Linked DNA regions of Diceros bicornis minor. The protein of the gene in region 1 interacts with the protein of each later gene in a biochemical or structural test. Links are inferred from orthologs where the notes say so. Each region holds a gene or a part of one and is shown on either strand. Other genes may lie near its edges.

Region 1 (7,165 bases):
TGTTGATAATTTTTGAAGATGGGTCATAGGTGTACAGCAGTTCATTATATTGTTCTCTCCATTTTTATGTATGGTTTTAAAAGTCTATTAAAATGTTAAATTTGTAAAAAATATTCAGGTGTATTCAGTGGTCTTCTTTAAAATCTTTAATTCTAAAACAAATTCAGCAGAGAATATCAATTTACCTATAAGTTGACAGGGTACACAAACTTGAAGGTAGTCCTCAAATCACATCAAAAGTTACTCTAACAACAGACAGATGTGAGGTCATATCGATATACTTGGAAGTTACTGAGAAAATAAATGTAATGCAATGAAGTGTATGTCTTGTGTTAATATGTTATATAGTCAATGACTAATAAAAAAACATTATATTCTTAGAATTGGAAGGGACAAATTTTCTATTTCAGTGGTTTGCATACTTTTCAAGGTACTAGAGGAGAGGGCCAGAGACAGATCACCTTGTTTTATATACCGAGGATTGGGTACAAAATATAAGATTTTGTTTTAAGAAAGGATCTAGCCACTCAAAAAAAAAAGCTTAAAAACCACTGTTCCACTGCACCCACATTCTACAGCTAATATTGTGACCTTAAAAAGGTTAAATGACAGGGCCAGCCTGGTGGTGCAAGCGGTTAAGTGTGCGCACTCCACTGCGGTGGCCCGGGGTTCGCTGGTTCAGATCCCGGGTGCGTACGGACGCACCGCTTGGCTAGCCATGCTGTGGCAGTGTCCCATATAAAGTAGAGGAAGATTGGCATGGATGTTAGCCCAGGGCCAGTCTTCCTCAGGAAAAAGAGGAGGATTGGCCAATGTCAGCTCAGGGCCGATCTTCTTCACAAAAAAAAAAAAAAAAAGGTTAAATGACTTGTGTAATATCATTCAATTAACGGCAATGTCAAGAATAGAATTCAAGACTCTTGACTATTTGTCCAGTTCTCCTTCAAAACAATGCACCACCTCATATTTAAATTACAATTAATAAAATTCTGTTTCAATTTTATTGTCTGTAAAATAAGATTAGACAAGATTATCTCTAAGATCATTTTTCAGGTCTAAAATTCTGACTCCATGAATACCAAGTTCAAACAGACATCTATACTACAGGAATGAATGTTTTTAAACACAGCAAAACTCTTCAAGCATTCTCAGGTACTCCACAGAAATACAAGTCAAATACAGAAGCAAGTATTCACAGTAGTTACCTTTTGAGTCCTGAAACATTTTTGCAACTTCTCCATCTTTTAATAGTTAATGTTAGGATATGAAACACTGTTAGCAAAGACCACTGAAATAATCATACTGAAAGTTTTTTTGGTTATTAGATCTTTTTGGAAAGGATATTGGCCTAACTATCAAAATATACAACTCACTGCATATTCAAGTTACTGAATGACTCACAGAGAACCAAGTACATCACTCTCTTATGAGTAAAATAAATGAATTCAGAGCAGCATTAAGCCCAGCTGACACATAATGGTCACAAATAAAGTAATAAGTCTCACCTATTAAAGCCTGAAAGAGGTTGCTCTGAAATATGTTAATAACCCGTTCTATGGAACTTCTGAGCTGTCTGTCTTCAGTTTGGCTTAGTTTCGAACGATATTCTTCCAAAAGGTGCAATGCTCTCTGGGTATCTGAGAAGAAAAAAGGAGTCTGATAAAAATTATATATTTACAAGAAAGTATTACACACTAGCTATGAAGCAAATGATTCTGCAAGACGTCTCAACAGTTCTCAAAATCCTCCAGGTCAATCGATATTACTATGTTCATGTACAGGTATATTCCCTAGAATTATCCAAAAAATTTTAAACATATGTCACAGTAGAAAGAAGAGGAAGGTGAGTAGTTTGTAATAAATGTGTATGGCTAGTCTACCACAATAAAAGATCATTTGATCAAAGTATTAGCAACATAGTTTCAGCTGATCTGATATGCAAAAGCAGATTATCCACAATGTCATTATAATCCAAATCTCAAGTGTTTCAAAATACTAGCTCTTAGCCAATATCCCACATTTGCTCACAAAATAGTGTTTAGTAAAAATGATAAAGTGAAATATTAAAAAACCAATTAAGAGTTTTCAAAAAGACACTTCAGAGGGAAAACATTAATTGCCTCTCCAATCACTACAGAGATGTCAAGGAAGAAAGTTTGACAAACATTAAGTGTTTCCATCTTCTGAATGATGTGAGGCTTAGATTACTAACGTTAGGACTGTGCTGTCTCATCAGAGTTACACATTTTTAAAACACAGCAATCACAAAACAGACACACAGAAAAGCAAGTGACACTCACAAGAAAGTTCCAAAATAAATTCTCACCTTGCTTCCGGACCGGCATTTTTCTCCAGAATCAGGAAGAGGGCACACACCTTTAAAAACATAAAACAGAAAGCAAACAGAACTAAAGAAAAGAATTGTGGTTAAACTAGCATTTCCCCCTAAATCTCAAACCGAAAAACTCTCAGCCCTATTGGAAAAGCCCACCTGGCAAAGTTTTCCCAAGTGAGAGGAGGAGCCTCAAAACCTAGCAGTGTCAATCAATCTAGAAAGCTGTTACCCAGGGGTGGGTAGCCCTGCAAATTAAAAGCAGAGAGAAGTCGGCTTCCAAATCCTCCTCGAAAGCTGCCCCCTCTCTAAAGGGCACTAAATGCCTAGACCTGGGGCCACCCCTCCCCCGGTATAAGTATGCCTACTTCCCACCTGCTACTGGGGGGGTGAAAAGGCGCTCCGACCCTTGCCCCTAAGCCAGCAGCGGTTGTAGAGCGCTCCGGGAAGGGACCAGCTGGGTTGATCACCCCGCCCTGCTCGGGCCCTCTCCCCTCGCTTGCCTTTCTCCTGGCTCGCTTCCTCCGGGTTACTCCAGCGGGGGCCGGACAGGGCAGCGGCCGCTCTCCGCGACGCCCTCGCGCCCCACATGCACACCTCCGCGGGCCCCCACACCTGCGGCGCCGCCACAAAGTTCCTGCGAGCGGCGTGCGCTCAGAGCTGGGGTGCGCTCCGGCCGGACTCGGGCGGCTCCCCCGCCCTGCCCCCGCTCCACGTCCCCCCGCCCCGCCCGGGGCTCGAGGAGCTAAGCTCAGGGGGGTGAGGGAACGGGGGAGGAGCTCCCCTCGGCGGCCGCACCCCCGCTGCCTCTTCCTCCGCCGCCGCCGCTGCCGCCGCCACCGCCTCCTCGCTCACCACGGCCCGCTAGCCCGCTTGCCCTCTCTCCCTCTAGCCGCCCCACCCCCGGAACCTCGCCTCCTTCCGCGCCCCCAACCGCTCTCCCCCCAAACTTTCCGCCAAGATGGCGGCCCCCGAGCTGGACTGCCGCGCCCCCACGTGACCGCCTTCCCGGCGCTCCCAGCCAATGGGAAGTGAGGAGGCGGCTCGCGCCGAGCCTCGGGCTCTCAGCGCTGCTACCTTTGGATTGGAAGGGGGAGGAGGGCCGGGAGGGGGCTGGGGAACGGGGAAGGGGACCTGGGGAGCATCCCAAGTGAACCTCCTCGCTTAAAAGGACGGCCACCGAAGTGGCTCTGAGGACAAAGGAGTTGACACACAGACTCTACAGGTGGCCCGGGGTGGCCTGGAAGAGCCTGCCTTTACCTAACCGTAGTCCACCGGTGTGCCCCGCGGTTCTGAGCGAGTAGCGCCCCAGACCCAGAAGGGTCGGGGTGTCTGAAGAGAGACGTGACCTCACTTACACCAGATCCAAGACACATTTCAGGACTCCCTTTAACCTCACTAGACACATGCTGTTTCCAACTCAAAGGCAGGAGAGAGTACCTGGCGCTCCCGGGGGTAGATCTCCAACCTAGAAAAGTGGTTTTGGGGAGGACTGCGCCCCCCACGTTAGGGGGCGGGGAGGGCAGAGCCTGGGACGGGGAAAGGGAGGAGTTTGGGCGGGGGGTGGGGGGTGCCATCTCTGCACACAGTCTTCCACTCTGCACTGATTTTTTTCAAGTTACTATTCGCCCCTCAGTAAAAGTTTTTTTTTTGGGGGGGGTGAATTAAAGAAGGGCACGTAAAATAGGGAGATTGGTTAATTTGATAAGAGTTTGAGGATTTTACTAAGGGATTTTTAAGTCTAAGTGATGAATTCATCACAAGTATGAATGAATGCATTTAAGGGTATGAAGAGAAAATTCGTTCCTTCTTTCATTCACTCATTCATTCACTCCCCCTTGCCTACGTCCGCTGCCCAGTCACCAGTCTCCACGTATTACCCAAGCTCTGGCGGCCCCTTAAGAACTCACCTGTAGCCGCCGCCTCCGAAGCCGAGCCGCCCCTCGCTCAAAGAGCTGGTCTGAGTTTTGATTGCACCTTGGAGCGGGACTACTGGCCGGCCAGGACCCTGCTCCGGGGCTGAGCCACTCGGATTGTAGGAGAATCACGGAAAGCTCTTCAAGTCACTGCCCAGGTCTTTGAGCCTCTTCTGGATAACAAAGATCTCTCTGCTCTGCGGTTGAGAGAGAAAAATTTGCCCAAGGTCATCCAGAGTTAGTGACAAAACTGGAAACACGGAGATCGTGTCTTTCAAAACCGGAAGACTCTTCCCAGTAAACTTGACAGCCTTTCACGGAGGCCGTATCCTTGGGCTAGTAAAGGGAAGTCCGGAGAACCTTGTACTGTAACCATAACAGTTACTCAGACGTATGCCTCTGACCACTGGGTTTCACTTCTGGATTGCACCTTGGAATCTTAACTTCTTGTGAGAACCCGACGACTTTAGGGCTCATCTAGACCCACTCTCTCCATTTAAGATAAAGAAACCGAGGTCCAGAGAGGAGAAGCAACTTGCCCAAGGACATATAGGCTAATCAGTGACAGCAACCCAGAATTAGGTCTCCTAGCTCCAGGCCAGGGCTCTTTCCATACAATGGTGTGTTGGTGTATTGGCAGCAGATCTCTATACTGTCGTGGATTAAGCATCTTTGGAGCTTGAGCAACAGTTAAAGCAACATTTCATAGAAGAAATGGGATGTAAAAGTGAGAGAAGTCTCCTAAAAGCAAGGAGCTTAAATAGAGGGATTTTTAAAATAGTGAAGTAAGGGAGTTTTTAATAGTGAAAATGGCTGATGGCACGCATGCTATTATTATCAAGACTTCGTTGATGAACTGTGAATGGAATGGTTCCACTTAAGGAACCATTCTAAGAATGGAGTCTCTTCAGAATTGAGGAGAAGGAGAGAGGGATTTCGCCCTCCCTCTTAGTATCATTCGTTGTTCATATACGTTCACTTGCTAGGCAATGGGGATAGAAATGAATAATATCCAAGCCCAGCTCTCAAGGACCCACAGCCTACTACCAAATGGATAAAGGCTAGCGCAGCCTTTCCCAAGAGCTACTGAAAAGTCAAAAAAAAATTTGTGTGAATTCTCAGTGTCATCCTAGTCCTCCCCTAAAAACAAAGAGAAGAGGGAGGAGAAAGAGGAGACAAGAGGGCATGATGCCCTTCCTTCTTGTCATCCTCTATCCCTATGCAGTTGTCAGCAGTGTCAAAAAGCAGAAAAGAAGCTAGCACTTTCTCCACCCTTAGGGGCCATGACAAGTGCAGGCCTAGTATGAGGGGCTGTAGGACCGCACACCCAGCTGGGCTAAGGTGGCAGGGTATCTTGCCAAGAGACCAAAGAAATGACCCAGAGACAGCGGGCAAGACATATGGGTTTATTAGGGAGTTACTTACAGGGAACGTCCAGTGGCGGCTGGCTGGACAGGAGATGTGCACCGGCAACTGCCCACTGAGAGAAGCTTGCTTAAGTAGGCAGAGGAACAAAGGCTGCATGCTTGCCAAGGGGGATCATCCCTGTATGACCTGCCTTCCAAGGACCAGAACTCCCCTCTGGAGGGCCTTTGTGTTCCCTCAGACCGCAAGGGTCTCTGTGCTAATTATCCCACAAGAAAACAGCTGGGTTGGCCAAGCCCAGGACTGTTATCATCGTGAGTGCTGCCACGTAGCCCAGCCAAGGAGCCTCAAGGACTCATGGTTTTAAAGGGGCACGCTGGCTGGTGCCCCTACAGAGGCCTTTACTCCTCATTCCTCCTATCTATCCATTTGTATTAGTTATCTATAGCTGCATAACAAATTCCTCAAAGCTTAGTAGCTTAAAACTTAGTAGCTTAGTAACTTCAACAACAATAAACATTATCTCACAGTTTCTGCAGGTCAGGAATTCAGGAGGACCTTGACTGTATGGTTCTGGCTTGGGGTCTCAAGAGATTGCAGTCAAGATGTCTACCAGGGCTGCAGTCATCTGAATTCTTACCTGAGATTAAGGGAGGCTCTTCCAACATGCCTTACTCACATGGCTAGTAAGTTGATGCTGCCTTTAGCAGGAGGCCTCAGTTTCTCACCATGAAGATCTTTCTGTAGGACTGCTTCAGTGTCTTCATGACGTGGTGGCTGACTTCCTCCAAAGCAAGTGATTCGGGAGGGTGAGGCAGCAGCCACAACATCTTTCATGAACTAATCTCAGAAGTAACACTCTATCGTTTTCACAATATTATTGGTTACTTAGGTCAGCCTCAAGAGTATGAATACCAGGAGGTAAGAATCATTAGGGGCCATCTTGGAGGCTGGCTACCACATCACTACAACATACAAAGCAATGACACTGGATTTTTCCAAACAACTTCTGTTTCCTTGAAGTCTTTCTTACTTTATGCAGGTAGCAGCTGCCATTGAATAGGATCCAATATAGGATCTGATTACTTTTTCAACTGCCTCATTAAAAAAAATTTATATATACACTTTCCAGCCCCAAGTTCACTTTTCTTTCAAATAGCTTAAAAGGCTTAGGAGTCAGAGGACCACAGGAAAAGGCTCAAATCTCCCATTCTTCTATTGAGATGTCAGAGATTTGATCACAAAGAATATTCTCTCTCAGTTCTAAATCTTCCCTTCCCAACCATCCTTCTACCCAAGCCACCCTTATAGTTCCACATTTCTGAATTTGTACTCTCCCTGGTCCAAGTCCCCAGCCTATCCTCTGTAAAGGTACCCAGGTCCTGCCAGACTCTACTGCATCTTTTGTTCTTACTCTGGCAGAGCAGCAGTGTGCTGCCTGTGCCAAGGCAATCACTAAAAGGAAAGGATGTGATGCCATCAAAAACGCTTATGCCGGCTTAGGCTGCAAGAAGAGGAACAATGTTGAGAATGATGGAAGTGACCATGCTGG
Region 2 (7,169 bases), on another chromosome or scaffold:
TCCTCTGATGCCCACTCAGGATCCTTCCCATTGGCTCCCAAGAAAAAGAATGGCAGGTGATAAAGTTCTCTCCAAGGGTTAGTAGCTCAGAAAGAGGTGCGCACACACACACACACACCACTCACATCCTGTTGGTGTCTCTCACTCTCTCTAGCTCTTCTTCCCAGCCCTCCATCTTCAACCAGCCTACTCCTAATGGACCATATACTTTATTAAAAATATATAGTTACAAACTCCATTGTCAATCTGGGCTGGGCCCGGGGGCCCGGAGGGACCGCAGGGAGGGACTGGCCCTCATCCTGCCCCTCGGGGTCCCACCTCTGCACTCAAGCCCAACACCATCCAGGGGCCAAGACGGCTGGCTTTGAGGGCCTCAGGGAGCAGCCAGTGGGGCAGGGGGAAGGGCTAGGCTTGCCTGGCCGGGAGGGGGAGGGGGCACAGAGAGGGACCACACCGCCTCGTCCTGCAGGTACCAATGGCAGAAGGTGGATTTGGTGCCTCCATCTCTCTCCATTTATAGATATTTACAAAAGAAAGTCATGAGCAACAGGCCACAGTCATGCAAAAGAAGCGCACCCCCCTCCCTCCCTCCCCCAAACTAACCCCCTGCCCACCCCAGAACACCATGATGCCCACCCCCCCAGCAGTCCAGCCGCCTTCCCCAAGGTTCTGAGAGCAAAAGGGGCACGTCCTTGAAGGGTCAGTGGGGAAAGGGTGGTGGGTCTGGGGTCCCTAAGCTGCCAGTGGGTAGGTGCTGGGGGACCCGGGCTGACAGGGCGGAGAGTATCCGGGCCCTTCCCAGGCCTAGGCTCCGGAGTCAGGAGGAAGGGACTTTGAAGTCCCAGTCTTTGAGGCCCCCACGTCCCTCCAGAAGGTCCATGGAACCAGGGTCAGCTCTGTCCTGAGTGCGGAGGGGGTGTCCTGGTGTCCCACCCCCAGCAGAGGCTCTTGTGGGAAGCAGCGAGGGCAGGGCCTGGAGGTCAGATGGCGGACTCCCTGCGGTAGGAGATGTTGTCCAGCGGGAGGGTGGCCTGCATGCGCTCCAGATCCAGGTGGCTGCCAAACTCCAGCATCCGGATGATGCCCGCCTCCTCCTTGGAGCCCGCCTCCAGGCCCAGGCCCGCGGCCACCGCGGCAGCGGCCGCTGCCTCCTCCTCCATCTCCTCTTCCTCTTGGCTCATGAGAGCCAGCTCGTTCTCGTAGCAGAAGGCACTGGGCGGGGGCGGCGGGGCGGGCAGGACGGTGATCTTGCTCTCCTGCAGCTCCCGGGCGGAGCAGCAGGGCGTGCCGGCCACCTCGTAGGTCTTATGGAAGCGCGAGTAGTCCACCTTGTAGTGGCTCTTCTCCTCGAAGACCACGGGCTCGAAGCGGTGGCCCCACAGGATCTCGCTGGCCAGGTAGGAGCTGCGGGCCTGGGTGGTCATGGCGGTGGCCTCCACCATGCCCTCGAGGATGACCACGATCTCAAAGTCCTCCGACTCCAGCTCCTCCTTGCCCATGCCGTAGAGCGGGCTGTCCTCATCAATCTCATGGACGATGATGATGGGCGACACCAGGAAGATTCGGTCCAGGCCGATGTCGTAGCCCACGTTGAGGTCCCGCTGGTCCAGCGGCAGATACTCGCCCTCCTGGGTCATGTAGGGCTTGATGAGCTGGGCCCGCACGTGGGCCTCCACGATGTGGCTCTTGCGCAGGTTGCCCACGCGCCACATCAGGCAGAGCTTGCCGTCGCGCACCGAGATGACCGCGTGGTGGCTGAACAGCAGCGTCTGCGCCCGCTTCTTGGGGCGAGCCATCTTGGCCATGATGGTGCCGATCATGAAGGAGTCGATGACGCAGCCCACGATGGACTGGACCACCACGGCGATGACCGCCAGCGGGCACTCCTCCGTCACGCACCGGAACCCGTAGCCGATGGTCGTCTGCGTCTCCACCGAGAACAGGAAGGCGCCCAGGAAGCCGTTCACGTGCATGATGCAGGGTTTGGGGGCCACCGGAGCCGCCCCGCCGCTGCCCGCAGGCGCCCCCGCCGCAGCCACCGCTGGGCCGGCCTCCAGGTCACCGTGGAAGAAGGCGATGCACCAGAAGAGCAGGCCGAAAAAGAGCCAGGAGACGAGGAAGGCCGCGGAGAAGATCATGAGCATGTAGCGCCAGCGCGTGTCCACGCAGGTGGTGAAGATGTCCGCCATGTAGCGCTGCGACTTGTTGCTCAGGTTGGCGAAGTACACGTTGCATTGGCCGTTCTTCTTGACGAAGCGGTTGCGGCGCTTCCGCCGAGGCACGTGCGCCTGCCCGTTGCGGCTGTGCGCGTGCATGTCCTGAAGCCGGCGTGCTCACCTGGGAAGACGCGGGGCCTGGGGAGGAGAAACCAGACGGGTGAGATGCTGGCGGCGAGCGGCTGCAGCGGCGGCCTCTCCGAGGGCCCCGGGGCGCCCAGGCTCGGGGGCGGCAAGGCGCCTGTCCAGAGACGCCCAGGAAGGGGAGAGTCGGGACTAGAACCCAAGACTTGCACCGCCCGGTGGGCAGAAGGGGACAGTTAGGTGGTTCTGACGACAGGGAGGGAGTGTCGGGCCTGAGCCAGTGCCTCCGAGGCTGGCCCGGCTCCAGAAGCTGAGGCCACCAGGATCCAGGTCCCAGTCCCAGCCCCTCACTCCGCCCCCTCAACCCTCCTTCGCCCCTGTTCCCGGAGCTTCCTGATGCCCATCTGGGCTCTGCCCTCCCACCATTTGTCCCCTTTGCCTGGAGCAGAGGGAGCTCTGGCCCCCTCACCTCCTTGGGTTCAGCCTCTGCCCTCTTGGGTCCCTCGGGGGCTGGACATTCTCCTGTGCTGTCCAGTACAGCAGCCACTGGCCACCTGTGGCTCTTACATGTACTTAGAATTAAATAAAATTCTGACTTCGGTTCCCAGTTGCACTAGCCACATTTCACGTGCTCAGTGGCCACATGTGGCTAATGGCTACCATACTAGACAGAGCAGACATTTCCCTCAGGGCAGAAAGTTCGACTGGACAGTGCTGGGGCCCACAGCCCCTTCTTGGTTCCTGTCCTGTCCCCAAACTTGTTGGGAGGAGTGGTGGGTGGAGACTCCACTGGTGGTGGTCCCAGTGGAGGAAGAGGGAGCCCCGAGCTTTGGCTCCTGTGTAGGTATCGGTGTTCCCATGTCACAGGTGAGGGAACAGGGGCTCAGAGAGAGGAAGTGACCTACCCAAGCCCACACAGCTGGTAAGTGGGTCCAAACCCAGGTGTGTCTAGCTCTTCAGGCCCTGGGTGGTGGCAACATCGATGAGCTCACGGTGTGCAGACCCGAAGAGGGGGAGGCAGACACATCTGCTGCCTAGCTGTGTCACCTCGGACGACTCACTTCACCTCTCTGAGCCTCAGTTTCCTCATCTGTAAAGTAAGAATCAAAACTCCACCACAAGACCCAGGGAGAGAGCGGGTGCTCAGTTTAAGCCAGTCGCCCTCCTGCCTTCCTTGCCGCTTCCCGGGTGTGGGGGGGTGGGGGGAGAAGCTGGTGAGAGGCAGGATTCGCCTGTCAGCGTCCCCAGCTGTTCCAGTGGAGGCAGCCCCTCACCCCGCCGGGTGGCAGGCGCAGCAGCTGGGCCCTTGGAAGGCAGACCCTCCCTCCACCCTCTTTCCCACTGGGGCCCCAGGAGAGAGATGGTGCTGCCCAGGGCCCCAGCAGCTGGCAGGGCCAGGCCCGGGCCTGGGTTCCCGGTAACATTTTGGCCCAGAATTATATAAGGCTGGAAGTTTCTATTTTCTGTCCTATTCTTCTTCCTGATCTAATTGTGCATCTGTGGCAATGTTTATACACTTCCCCGGTTCAGGACAACTCGGTTGCCCCGGCAACCAGTGCGCGCCAACGCTGTAATTTAGAGATCAACAGCTTCAGAGCCTGCCTCTGCCAGGGAGAAACTCCCTCTCTGCGCCCAGGGAGAGTGAGCCCTGCCCTCCTCCCCCACAGTCACCCCACCCCGACTCTGGGTTCTTCTCCCTTCCCCCCTCAAAAGGAGCTCCCTGGGTCCCACAGTCCTGAATTGAAGTCCCAGATCCACCACATAACTTGGGCAAGTTACTTGACTGCTCTGAACCTCAGTTTCCTCATCTGGAAAATGGGACCAGTGAGACCCATCAGTCTGAACAGGTAATGTGGATGTGCATACTGGCCCCCAAGAGGTTACAACTTTAGCTGGGAGTCCCAGACCCTGTCTGCCCCCTACCCAGAGTCCTGATAGCCAGGGCTCCAGGTGGCAGCCCTAGGGGACTGGGGGCCAGGTGCACCTTCTAGACTATAAATAGTTTTCAGGGGGTCTTCCTTCGCCACACATCTCCGACTCGACTCTGTCCTGCTGTCTTGAATGCCTCCATTAGCACCACAGAAGGAACTAGAGCCAGGAGGAACGGAAGATCACTGATTTCAAGACCCTCATTTTACATCTGAGGCCGAGGAAGCCCAGAGCTGGGACGGACTTGCTAAGGGTCCCAGAGCGAGACAGGGTGGGCCAGCCCTGAGCCCGTCTCCTCACTCCCACTCCTGGAAGAAGGTCAAGGTGCTCCTGGGCAGAGGAGCTGCCTCCCTGGAGGGGGCTGGGGTGGAGTTTGGGGCTAGGGAAGAGAGGGCCCCAGCCCGGCCCCGGGAGGCCCTGGGCCCACCTGCCACAGGTGTCCGGGAGACAGGCAGGGGGGACAAGGTGTGGTGACCTGGGGCTTTGATGGGTGAGGACACTGAGGCCCAGGGAGGGTGAGGGCCCCGCCCAAGGCCACACAGGAGCCCAGGGTGCGGGGCCCCTGGTCCTCTGCCACAGGGAAGGGCTCTGGTCTGGGGGCTTCATCTTGTGCTGCAGGAGAGGGCTCTTCATGGGGCTCCACCCTCTAGCAGGGCCCTGGGTGCGAGGAGGGAGGGAGACCACCCCCCACGGCTCTAAGCTCTTGGTCCTCCCCTCGCCAGCATGGCCCAGTGTTTCCCATTCATGAGTGGAAGTGACTGGAATCTCAGCCACGCTCATGCCCCAGGGTCGGCCCGGAGGCTCCGCATGTCCCCACCCCGACACTCCCTCCGCCCCCACACCCCCTCCGCCCCCACACCCCCAACTTCAGTTCTCACCCCCTGCCCCTGCCCTGCCATCCCCGGGTCCCCCGACCCCCAGCAGCCCCCGCATCGTAGCCCGGTGGCGGCACAGCTTATCCTGTGTCTTATCCAGCTTCGCCTGTGTCAGCTCAGGTGACACTTGAAATGTCCACCCCTGGGCCGTTGGGAAAGCAGCCCCCAGGCACAGGTGCGCCCCTAGACTGCCATCCTCCACCACGAGGAGCCCATGTGCACTGGGCTGGTGAGCGCCCGGCCCTCGTCCGCAGTGACCTGCTCACATCAGGGAGCACTCCCGTCACCACGGGCTCCTTTGGCGGAAGTGAGAGGCTCGCCTGCCACCTGCACGATCCCAGACCAAAAAGTGAAACGTAGGAAGCATGGCGTTGTGCTTTCCTGTGACAACCACTGGGAGACTGGTCAGGGTGTCTTCCCTTATTTGTCACTTGGGGCTTCCTGCCCAAGGCACAAGGGCCCGAGGGAAAAGCGCAAAAGAGAAGGGGCACGGAGATGGAAGAGGGGCGAGAGGCACTGACAACTGGGTACCATCCTCCTCTGGATGTGGTTGTTTTATTAAGAGAGAGAGAGTGAACCCTGGTTGTTTAGGCGCCTGCGCCATGTCTACAGTTAAACCACCCTTTTATGGAAGGCAGGGGGCTGGTCTAACCCTCTTGCACCGAATGCGCCCTGTGAACACACAGGGAAGAACGTGGTTTCAGCACATTCCCTACGGGGGAGGCTCTGGGAGGCCGGGCCCCTCGCTCTGCCTTGCTGGGTGACCTCGGCCAAGTCCTTCCCCTTCCCGTCCGGGGTTCTTCCTCCAGTCTCTGTCCTTTGTTCTTTTTTTTTTTTTTTATGAGGAAGATCAGCCCTGAGCTAACATCCATGCTAATCCTCCTCTTTTTTGCTGAGGAAGACTGGCTCTGAGCTAACATCTATTGCCAATGCTCCTCCTTTTTTTTTTCCCCCAAAGCCCCAGTAGATAGTTGTGTGTCATAGTTGCACATCCTTCTAGTTGCTGTATGCGGGACGTGGCCTCAGCATGGCCGGAGAAGCGGTGCGTCAGTGCGCGCCTGGGATCCGAACCTGGGCTGCCAGTAGCGGAGCGCGTGCACTTAACCGCTAAGCCACCGAGCCAGCCTCTGTCCTTTGTTCTATGAGGGCATCTGGGGACTCTCTTCATGGAAAATGTTCTTTCTTTTGGGGAATGACAAGATGGGAGATGCTGGCTGCTTTTTAAAATTTGAGTGTCCTTTCTTGGCAAAGTGAAGAATTCACAATGCTGGGCCAGTTACCAAACTTTTCTTTTAATTTTACTGGATGCTGTGTACATCCAAAATCTGCAGCCCCTTGTCCAAACTTCACTGGACAGCTAGGGAAACTGAGGCTGAGAGCAGGGCTGTGGCTCGGTGAGTCAGCAGCTGGCAAAGGACGCTCGGGCCTCAGGGAGATTGTGAAGGTGACTCGCAGGGTTGACAACTCGCTGGCACCGTCGCTATCCTGCCCCTTCCTGAGGAGTTAAGGAAGGCTGGACCCTGCCTGCCAGGGGTCCAGAGGAGGTAGGAAGACCACCTTGCTCCTGTCACCTCTTAGGTTTTCCCTCTGATTTTATGACACTAAACGGTGCCTCCTTGCCCACAACTCCTTTTGCGAAAGAAGAGCTGATAAAATGGCAGCAGCCTCAGTGGATTCCAGCAACCCTGGCAGGCTCTGAGGGCAAGTTTCCCAGCACACACCCTCGCCACTCATGGGAGACACAGTGGCGGCCGCAGGTGCGCCTCACCTGGGCCCTCCAGCCCCAGACAGCAGCAGCAGCAGCCGTTCCTGAGAGCCGGGGCCCTGCACTCAGCCCCCTGGACAGCGGGAAGGAGGGGCAGAAGGCCTCGCTCAGGGAGCACTCAGCCAATGCCAGCCTGCAGGGCCCTTATGCATCCCATTGTTATCGGATGGGACAACAGGGGAGGTGAAGTGACTTGCCAGAGGTCACACAGCTCAGCCGTGGGGCGCAGCTGAACCCAACATCCTTCTCTGTGGCCATTCTCAGGAAATGAACACTCTGGAGTACCAGCCCTATGCCAAG
Region 3 (7,966 bases), on another chromosome or scaffold:
CTATTTTGGGAGTTTTGTGGTATTTTCTGGTTCCAGGCTTCTAGTTAGTGACAAAATGGCACTGCCAAGATGACTTACCACATGCGTGGGGTAGAGAAGAGCACCGTGGTGGGCGCTACTTCTAAAATTTACTTTTGGCTTTGCCCTGGACTAAGTTGACACACATACAGAAAATACCCCTTTTCCTCCAAAGCCTCACTGAGTTAGCATCTATCCTACTTTGCTTACTCATATTCTTCCCAGTGGAAACTGATCTCCCTGTACTAGGTTTTCCTGTTGCGTTTTATTTGCGCCTCTGTGGTAGCACTCATCCCAGGCCATCTCTCTTTGTAGCCTCTTGCATTTCTATCTTCCCCCTCCATTAACCCAGAGCTTTCTGAGAGCACAGGCCATGTTTTTCTTATCTTTGCATAATCCAATGGGACCTAGCACAATAACTTACATTGGAAGTGCTCCATCTATGTTGTTGAATTAAAATAAAAATGTTTTAGGGAAACAATTTAGAATGATGACTTTAACATAAGATACCTCAACTATTTGCAGAAATGACATGTCATAGATCAACAACATAATTGACTACATCTTCACATTAAATGCTGAAAAAAATTTCTGATATTACCAAGAAAAAATCCCCATGCATTATGAAAGCCAGTGTGTGGTTTTGGTTAAATTGCATAGTCTAAATTCTGTGGAATCCAAATGTTTGAAATGAGGAAGGATATTGCTTTTGGTCTCAGCACTGGAAAAAAGGTGAAAGCCTTCTACAATATTCATGAGTAGCGTGCTTAGCTTAGCATAGGTATGTCAATAAATCATTGCCATAGCTCTGTGACAATTGAAGGTCTTGGTGTGTGTGTGTGCATGTGCACATACAGACCTTTTTATAAGGAAATATTTAAGAACTTCCTGACTGTAAAGAAAAATACAATGAATGTCATAAAGCACCTAGGTGTCATGATAAGTGTGTTTGGAGAAGGCAAAAGTATTTTGTTTTCTAAATATTTAAACATGGCCAACATATCAGTTGGGAGGTTTAAATGCTATGGGAAGGACTCTAGAGTAATATAGTGGATAATTCTCTCTAACCTAGAAAGGAGAATTGGAACCTGAAGGATGACATCATTAAGGTAATATTTGAGGAAGATGCATTGGGCAACAGTATCCTGAATAACTGAGGCAGGGTTGCTCCTGGAATCTTGGGAAGGAGGAAGCGGTAATAATAATCCAGATGCAAGGTGACAGAGGCAGAGTGATAGGAAGTGGTAGAAATGTAGAGGAAGGATTGGCTATAAAAGACATTTTAAAGGAAAAATCCCTATGACTTTGTGAATGTGATAGATAATTCTGAAATATTGAGTCTCAGTGACTTGAATGACTTAACACCAGAGAGAGAGAAGTGGGGAGGGGCAGCTGGACCATAGGGAAATATAAAAGTTTACTTTTGGACATCTTGAGTTCAATAATACAGTGAGACACCCAGATGGAAATTCTCTGGCTCAATCTCTGTCATTTTAGGACATTGTTGTTCTCCAACGGATGCACTGAGGATATCAGATCTGGAGACAGCACAGAGAAATTTAACACAAGTGAAGAACGAGCTAAATTTGAAAATGTTGAGGTCACAGCACAGCCACAGCTGAGACATGCCGCGGTGTTCTGGTTGGATATTTGATCTCGCATCATGTTGACTGCCTGCCAGGCTAGATGCCTTCATACATCGACTGTGTTCTGGCTTAGACTTCTGCTTCTACTCATCTGCAAGTATTTAGCTTGTAGTCAGGCATTAGGACATGTCGGCTTTATGATTTAAAAATGTAGAAAAATATTCTTATTTTACAGTGGCCCAACATATTGAAGCCTCCAAATTTGTGGAGTAGATATAGAAATCAAAGAGTTATATTCTGACTGTAATGCCAATATCTCTGATCTAATCCTCTTGGTAAAGTTTAACTCATCCTTTGAGAACTAACTCAAAAGTTACTGACTCTAAGCAGCCTGCCTGACTCCCCCAGGCAGTTTGTCTTTTCATTGTCCATGTTCTCATAAGACTTTGTTCTTATTTCTACTAGAGCACATAGAATAGTCTACGTGTCTGTCTCTTGCCACTAGACTGGGAGCATCTTGAAGATGGGAACCATTTATTCCGTTTTGTATTTCCCACTCCCCTAACAGAGCAGCAGTTAGTGATATTTCGTTGTTGGAAATAGCCAAAAGAGAAGTTTTAAGAATAGGGATGGAGCAATGTGCAGCAGCCATAGCGAAGCCTGTATACACATCATATGTCACATCCCTGCTGATGCCATTAATGCTGCGCCAGCAGAGGCAGTGCTCTCATTACATGCTGCTGGCCCATATTTGTAATGTGTGACATTTTTTATGAAATACTGTCAAGGGTAATACATCATATAGTAACCTTTGGATTATGTGCTGAGACTGGTCTTAAACATAGACACAAATAAACTTCAAGAATAATGCTATTTTCTAAGAAGGGTCTGATCAAAGAGCTCTGGCTGGGAAAATGAGGCAGAACATTACATTCTGTTAAGTTAAACACAAGTGCCTGAAAAAGAAGTTTCCTTCTGTCTCCTCCAGTTGGGGTTGGGGTTATTGTGTGAAGATAATCAGGTGACTCTGAAATGTGGAGGAATATTTATTTCTTGTAGTATGTCAGTGTTTGAAAAGGGAGTGAGGGCTTGCTAAAGGTTTGACCACCCTTGGGACTCGAGAGGTTTGTAATCATTTTATCTCAAGAGGCATTTTTTAAAATAAAAGGACACATGACAACTTGAGTAAATTTCAGATGTCAACTGTGGGCTCACCATTAAAGGTATTCTCTCTGTGTATTCAGAAAGATCTAGGATTTTACACATATTATAGAGTATAAATAAAGGAAAGCTTCTAAGTCTCATCATTTTTGTGTGAATCCACATAAGACTCCTTTGATGAGCTTAGTGTTTCCTGTTAAGGAAAAGCTTACAGGTGAGAGGAACAGTAAAATTACAATTCTTTGTCTTCCTTAATTAGACTGGAGCTCACCATAGATCTTCCTCAAGCTGTGAGAAAATCCAAGCAATAATTCACATTGTCAGGTCAGCAGAAATGCGCACGGTGGTCTGATAGGACTGAAAGATTTGCTTAAGTGATCTATCTGTGAACTGAACAGTGCAGAAGAGATACACAGCCTTCATCGGAAATATACCCTCTGATGATGCTGAGCACAAACAGCAATGAAAATAAATCCCAGCAAGATTCTTATACCACCTTTACAGATGTCATTCTAGAGGAAATATATAAATCACATTAATGCCAATTGATGCGGGGCACTAATTAATAAGTCCCATTAAATCTTGGAGTAATGACATTTAGCATCTAATGAATGCCTCATAATCTCTTGATCATTAATATTTCATGGCATAGGAACACAAGCATTGGCATCCCTGGGCTCATGTAGCATGGTTTTCTGTCTCTGACATGGCCCCAAGGGCATTAAGTGGCACAAGGGTATTACACCTCTGTTGTAAGACTCTACAACATAAGCAATTAACTCATTCAGTACCTTGGGTCCTAACATTTCCTCATTTTAGAAAATGTGAATCTGCCTGCCATTCTCAGAATTAACATCAGTGAGTGCTGAGTGCCCTGGAAGAACAGAAGGAGCTGAGATGTTGACTTTGTCGTGGAGCATTGCTTTGTTGTTGACTCTCCCAGCCCACGCAGGAAACTTGCACAGGAGAGATCATTACTTTGATGTATTACTGGGGTTTTCTTTATTCAAAGGCAATAATCACCATACAGAGCAGGTGCCATTGCAAGGGTTTATTGATCCTCTGCTCTTCTAGAAATTCCAGGAGGTCGTTACTCTGGCGGGAGATGGAAGTGGTCGACAAGTCCATCCCCGAGCAGGCTGAAGTGAAATAGGAGAAAATCTCTGGCCGTCGGTGTATCTGTCCAGTGACACTCGGTGTCTTTTCTTTCAGAAGAGTTGGAGCAGAGAGAACGCTTAGAGAGGTTGCAATGGGCAAGAGAGACGGAAGGAGAGCGACGACAGAGAGAGCTGCCAAGGGGTCTAAGAGGCTGAATGCTTCCGGCGGGGCGAGAAAGGGTCTATAGCTCCAGATCAAGATTCCAAAGAGTTAAATATTACCACGCAGCCCGACCTGGATGGGATTTGCTTCTGGGTACAAAACGGGACACTGATCAAAATCAACTTGGACAAGTGACAAGACTGAGTCTGATGTTGGTGGATGTCTTTTAAGGTCGTTGGAGGGGAGAGGACGGGAGGCGGTGTGCTCAGGGGTAGGTGGAGAGAAGCATCGAATCCAGGGATATAAAGGGATGCGGAGCCGGGAAACAGAGGACAAAATGAGTGGGGGAAGAGAGAGAGGAAGACTTGAAGAAAAGTAAGGCGAAAGTAGGGACAGGGTTAAGGAGAGAGGAGGATAAGAGAGAACTGAGGGCGGCGAGGAGGGATTAACAAGGGAAGGGGGATCGCTGGAGAGAAGGGCGGACGGTTGGATCAGGAGGTGGGGAGGAGGCGAGGGGAGTGAGCGGGTGGGGGCGCAGACAGCGAGGCGAGGGGGCTGGAGCAGAGGAGGGCAAGAAAGTGCGGGCGGCGCGGGGGCGGGCGAGGAGCCTGGGGGCCGGGGAGGGGGCGCTGGGCGTTGGGAAGAGAGCTGGGGAAGGGAGAGAGGGAGCGAGCCGGGCCGGGAGCCGAGAGCCGGGAGGCCGCGGGAGGGAGGTGGGGGGCAGGAGGGGGAGCGCGGGAGGGAGCGCGGCGGAGGGCCGAGGCCAAGTGCATTGTGTCTGGCGGCGGCGCGCGAGCCCACCGGCGGCTGCGGCGGGGCGGGAAGCCATGGAGCCGCGGGCGCTCGTCACGGCGCTCAGCCTCGGCCTCAGCCTCTGCTCCCTGGGGCTGCTCGTCACGGCCATCTTCACCGACCACTGGTACGAGACCGACCCCCGGCGCCACAAGGAGAGCTGCGAGCGCAGCCGCACCGGCGCCGACCCCCCGGACCAGAAGAACCGCCTGATGCCGCTGTCGCACCTGCCGCTGCGGGACTCGCCCCCCCTGGGGCGCCGGCTGCTCCCGGGCGGCCCCGGGCGCACCGACCCCGAGTCCTGGCGCTCGCTGCTGGGGCTCGGCGGGCTGGACGCCGAGTGCGGCCGCCCGCTCTTCGCCACCTACTCGGGCCTCTGGAGGAAGTGCTACTTCCTGGGCATCGACCGGGACATCGACACCCTCATCCTGAAAGGTGAGCGGCGGGCGCGCCCTGCGTCCTGGGCGCCCGCGCGGGGAGCGCAGCCCGCGGCTCCCCAGGGGCGCGCCGGTCCCCGCGGCCACCTCCCCGCCGCGTCCCCGCGCCCTGCTCCCCTGCACATTCTTTCATCCTTCCCCGCCGCCTCCGTTCCTTATCCCTCTCCCTTTCTTTCTCCCGTTCCTCCCTTCTTCTCTCGCTCTTCTTTCTTTCCATGACTCTCTTCTTTCCTTCTCATCCTGCTCTTCCTTTTCCCCCTTCCCTGAAGTCTGTGCTTTAGCCCCCCGCCTCTATCTCTTCCCTTGCCCGTCTTCTTTTACTCTCCTCTCGTCCTTCGCTGTCTTTGTACACCTGCCAGACTTGAAGGCATGTGTGGGTTTTCTTGATACTGCTCCCCTTGAGGGTAACAGTCAGGAAGACCTCACCTTTCCCAGGCGGGCTCCGTCCCTCAAGTTGTGCTTTCCTTTTAGAAATACCTTTGGAAAAAAAAGTGGTGCAAACCTAAGAAGAGGGGAAAGAGGATTTTTTCTTGTGTTGTGCCGATGTTGGTAGCAGATGGAACTGATGTTGTCATCCCACCCTGGCAGCTAATGGGGAGCTAAGGAAGCTGGAGGAACCTTTCTCCAACCCTCCGAAGCGCAGGGTTCGCATGGATTAGACCTCAGATACCATTAAGTCATTGGTGGAGGCAGCCGAAGGCAGATAGGACATCTACTTTTTTTCGCCCTTCCTGATGAGTGGGCACCCCATCCTCAGTGTCCAGGCACACCAGGGTGTGGAGAGGAGAGAACCTGCGCCAGCCCCTTAAAGTAGAGCTTTCTGGATTTGCACGTGGACCTCTACAAAATCACTCTCTTCTGTTTTGTGATACCTTTAAGGTTGTTTTTGTTGTTTTGTTATTTGACACTGAGTTGTAGAGCGTCAGTTTGCTCTTCTGAAATCTATGCAACACCTGGCTCCCATGCATGTAATCAGATAGTTTGAATTTTTTTTGTAATGTAAAATGTAAAAATATTCAATGTGACCATTCTGTTGGTGAAGCTTCCTTCTAACTTTCAGAGCTCGACGCTTAATATAAATTCTTTTTCTCTGAGATGAAAAAAATAAATCTTCTTTCCCTTGGACTCATTATTGCAAGAAAAAGAAAAAGTCTAAAATCAGTACATTTTAATATTTAATGGCCATTCAGGAAGGCAAATGAACAGACTTGTATTGAATTACAGTTGGGAATGGAATTACATAGAAAGGAGGGAGTTAGTAACATTTTGGCCTTTGGAGTCTTGTTAGTTGGCTTATTCTTCATTTCTCAAACATGTCAACTTCCTCCTTCCCGTGGCTAGCTCAGCTGGGGACTGCCATCTGAAATCTGTCTGTGCCTGGAAGGATGCCAGCGCTTTTGGGGGAATCAGATATAGTAACCGTCCTTTGGGAAGTGCACCTTTTTCTTTCCTCTCCTAACTTGCATCCAAATCTGATTTCTCCTCATGAAGATGCTGCATAATTAATTCTGATAGTGGCATAGTACATGAACAAACTGTAAAAGCTGAATTTGGAGGCTCAGTTATGGAATGCTCATTTTGGCAAGGCAATTTTGAAAGCTAAGCAGTGTAGTCTGTCTTTGGAAATGACAGAGCTGCATTTCCTTACTCCCTTTCTATGTCTAGAGTATTTGATTGCATGTAAATTGGATATAGAGTAGCACCTGAAACACCAGGGCAGAGTCCAACTCAACAGCAGGAGGAGAGGGACCCCACAGGACACTGCATATTCCCCACCTCTGCAAATGCCCAGGCTAGTTGAGGTGCCTAGCTCCGGGGCAGTCCAGGATTGAATAGTTCTAGAGGTGGGAGGGACTTTAGAGGTTATTGAATCCAGCCTCCCACCCATTGTTCCAACTCCCTTCTTCTACAATCTTGCTGACAAATGTCTGTCCAGCCCAGTACTTCCATAACACAGAACTTGTATACTAGTTAAAAGAATTATATTTTTCTAGTCATAAATGCTTGTTTCTTAGATTAGTAATATTGATGGTGTTTAGCTATTCCTTTGTGCAGAATGCTAAAGAGTTCTAGGTTGTAATCAGAAGACATGGGCACCATTGCTGGCTCTACCGCTAAATTGCAGTGTATCCTCTGACAAGTGTCCAGGGCTCCTTGGCCTTCAGTTTTCTTGTCTATGGGATTGGGAAGGCTGACTATTCTTGAGGGAATTTTCTATTTCTGAAATCTGTCATTGTTGTAATAATAACAATGTAAATTTAGCTTCTGGGAAAGTTAATGAGCTGACATTACTAAGACATGAGGAGCTTGGAGAAAATGACAGACATCCATACATTATAAGATCATAATTTGTTGTTTGGGAGATGGCCCAAAATGCCTCCATTACTTTCAACATTGCTACTAACTTACCTTGGACTAGTTACATAACTCTTCTGGATCTCTGTTTCATCATCTGTAAAATGAATGGGTGAAATGAACAGCTTTAGGGGCCGGCCCGGTGGCGCAAGCGGAGTTTGCAGGTTCGGATCCTAGGTGCGCACTGACGCACCACTTGGCAAGCCATACTGTGGCGGTGTCCCATATAAAGTGGAGGAAGATGGCCATGGATGTTATCTCAGGGCCAATCTTCCTCAAGAAAAAAGGGGGAGGATTGGCATCAGATGTTAGATCACAGCTAGTCCTCCTCACAAAAAAAAAAAGAAAATCATAAAA

The links.
Region 2: the proteins of DLG1 (region 1) and KCNJ4 form a complex in vitro, tested with the Homo sapiens proteins (2 studies listed by BioGRID and IntAct, with this or other methods). The link is inferred for Diceros bicornis minor from reciprocal best matches to the Homo sapiens genes DLG1 and KCNJ4.
Region 3: the proteins of DLG1 (region 1) and TMEM178A interact in a test that uses a peptide from one of them, tested with the Homo sapiens proteins (2 studies listed by IntAct, with this or other methods). The link is inferred for Diceros bicornis minor from reciprocal best matches to the Homo sapiens genes DLG1 and TMEM178A.

Annotation. Positions count from the first base shown.
Region 1 is NC_080754.1:29,485,165-29,492,329, forward strand, and holds the start of DLG1 (disks large homolog 1), read right to left. Parts: upstream 3,026-7,165; 5' UTR 2,836-3,025; intron 2,377-2,835; 5' UTR 2,346-2,376; coding exon 2,327-2,345; intron 1,638-2,326; coding exon 1,506-1,637; intron 1-1,505. UniProt on the Homo sapiens protein: Essential multidomain scaffolding protein required for normal development. Recruits channels, receptors and signaling molecules to discrete plasma membrane domains in polarized cells.
Region 2 is NC_080764.1:11,499,706-11,506,874, reverse strand, and holds KCNJ4 (inward rectifier potassium channel 4), read right to left. Parts: upstream 2,348-7,169; 5' UTR 2,316-2,347; coding exon 981-2,315; 3' UTR 643-980; downstream 1-642. UniProt on the Homo sapiens protein: Inward rectifier potassium channels are characterized by a greater tendency to allow potassium to flow into the cell rather than out of it.
Region 3 is NC_080751.1:44,782,604-44,790,569, reverse strand, and holds the start of TMEM178A (transmembrane protein 178A), read left to right. Parts: upstream 1-4,824; 5' UTR 4,825-4,852; coding exon 4,853-5,252; intron 5,253-7,966. UniProt on the Homo sapiens protein: Acts as a negative regulator of osteoclast differentiation in basal and inflammatory conditions by regulating TNFSF11-induced Ca (2+) fluxes, thereby controlling the induction of NFATC1.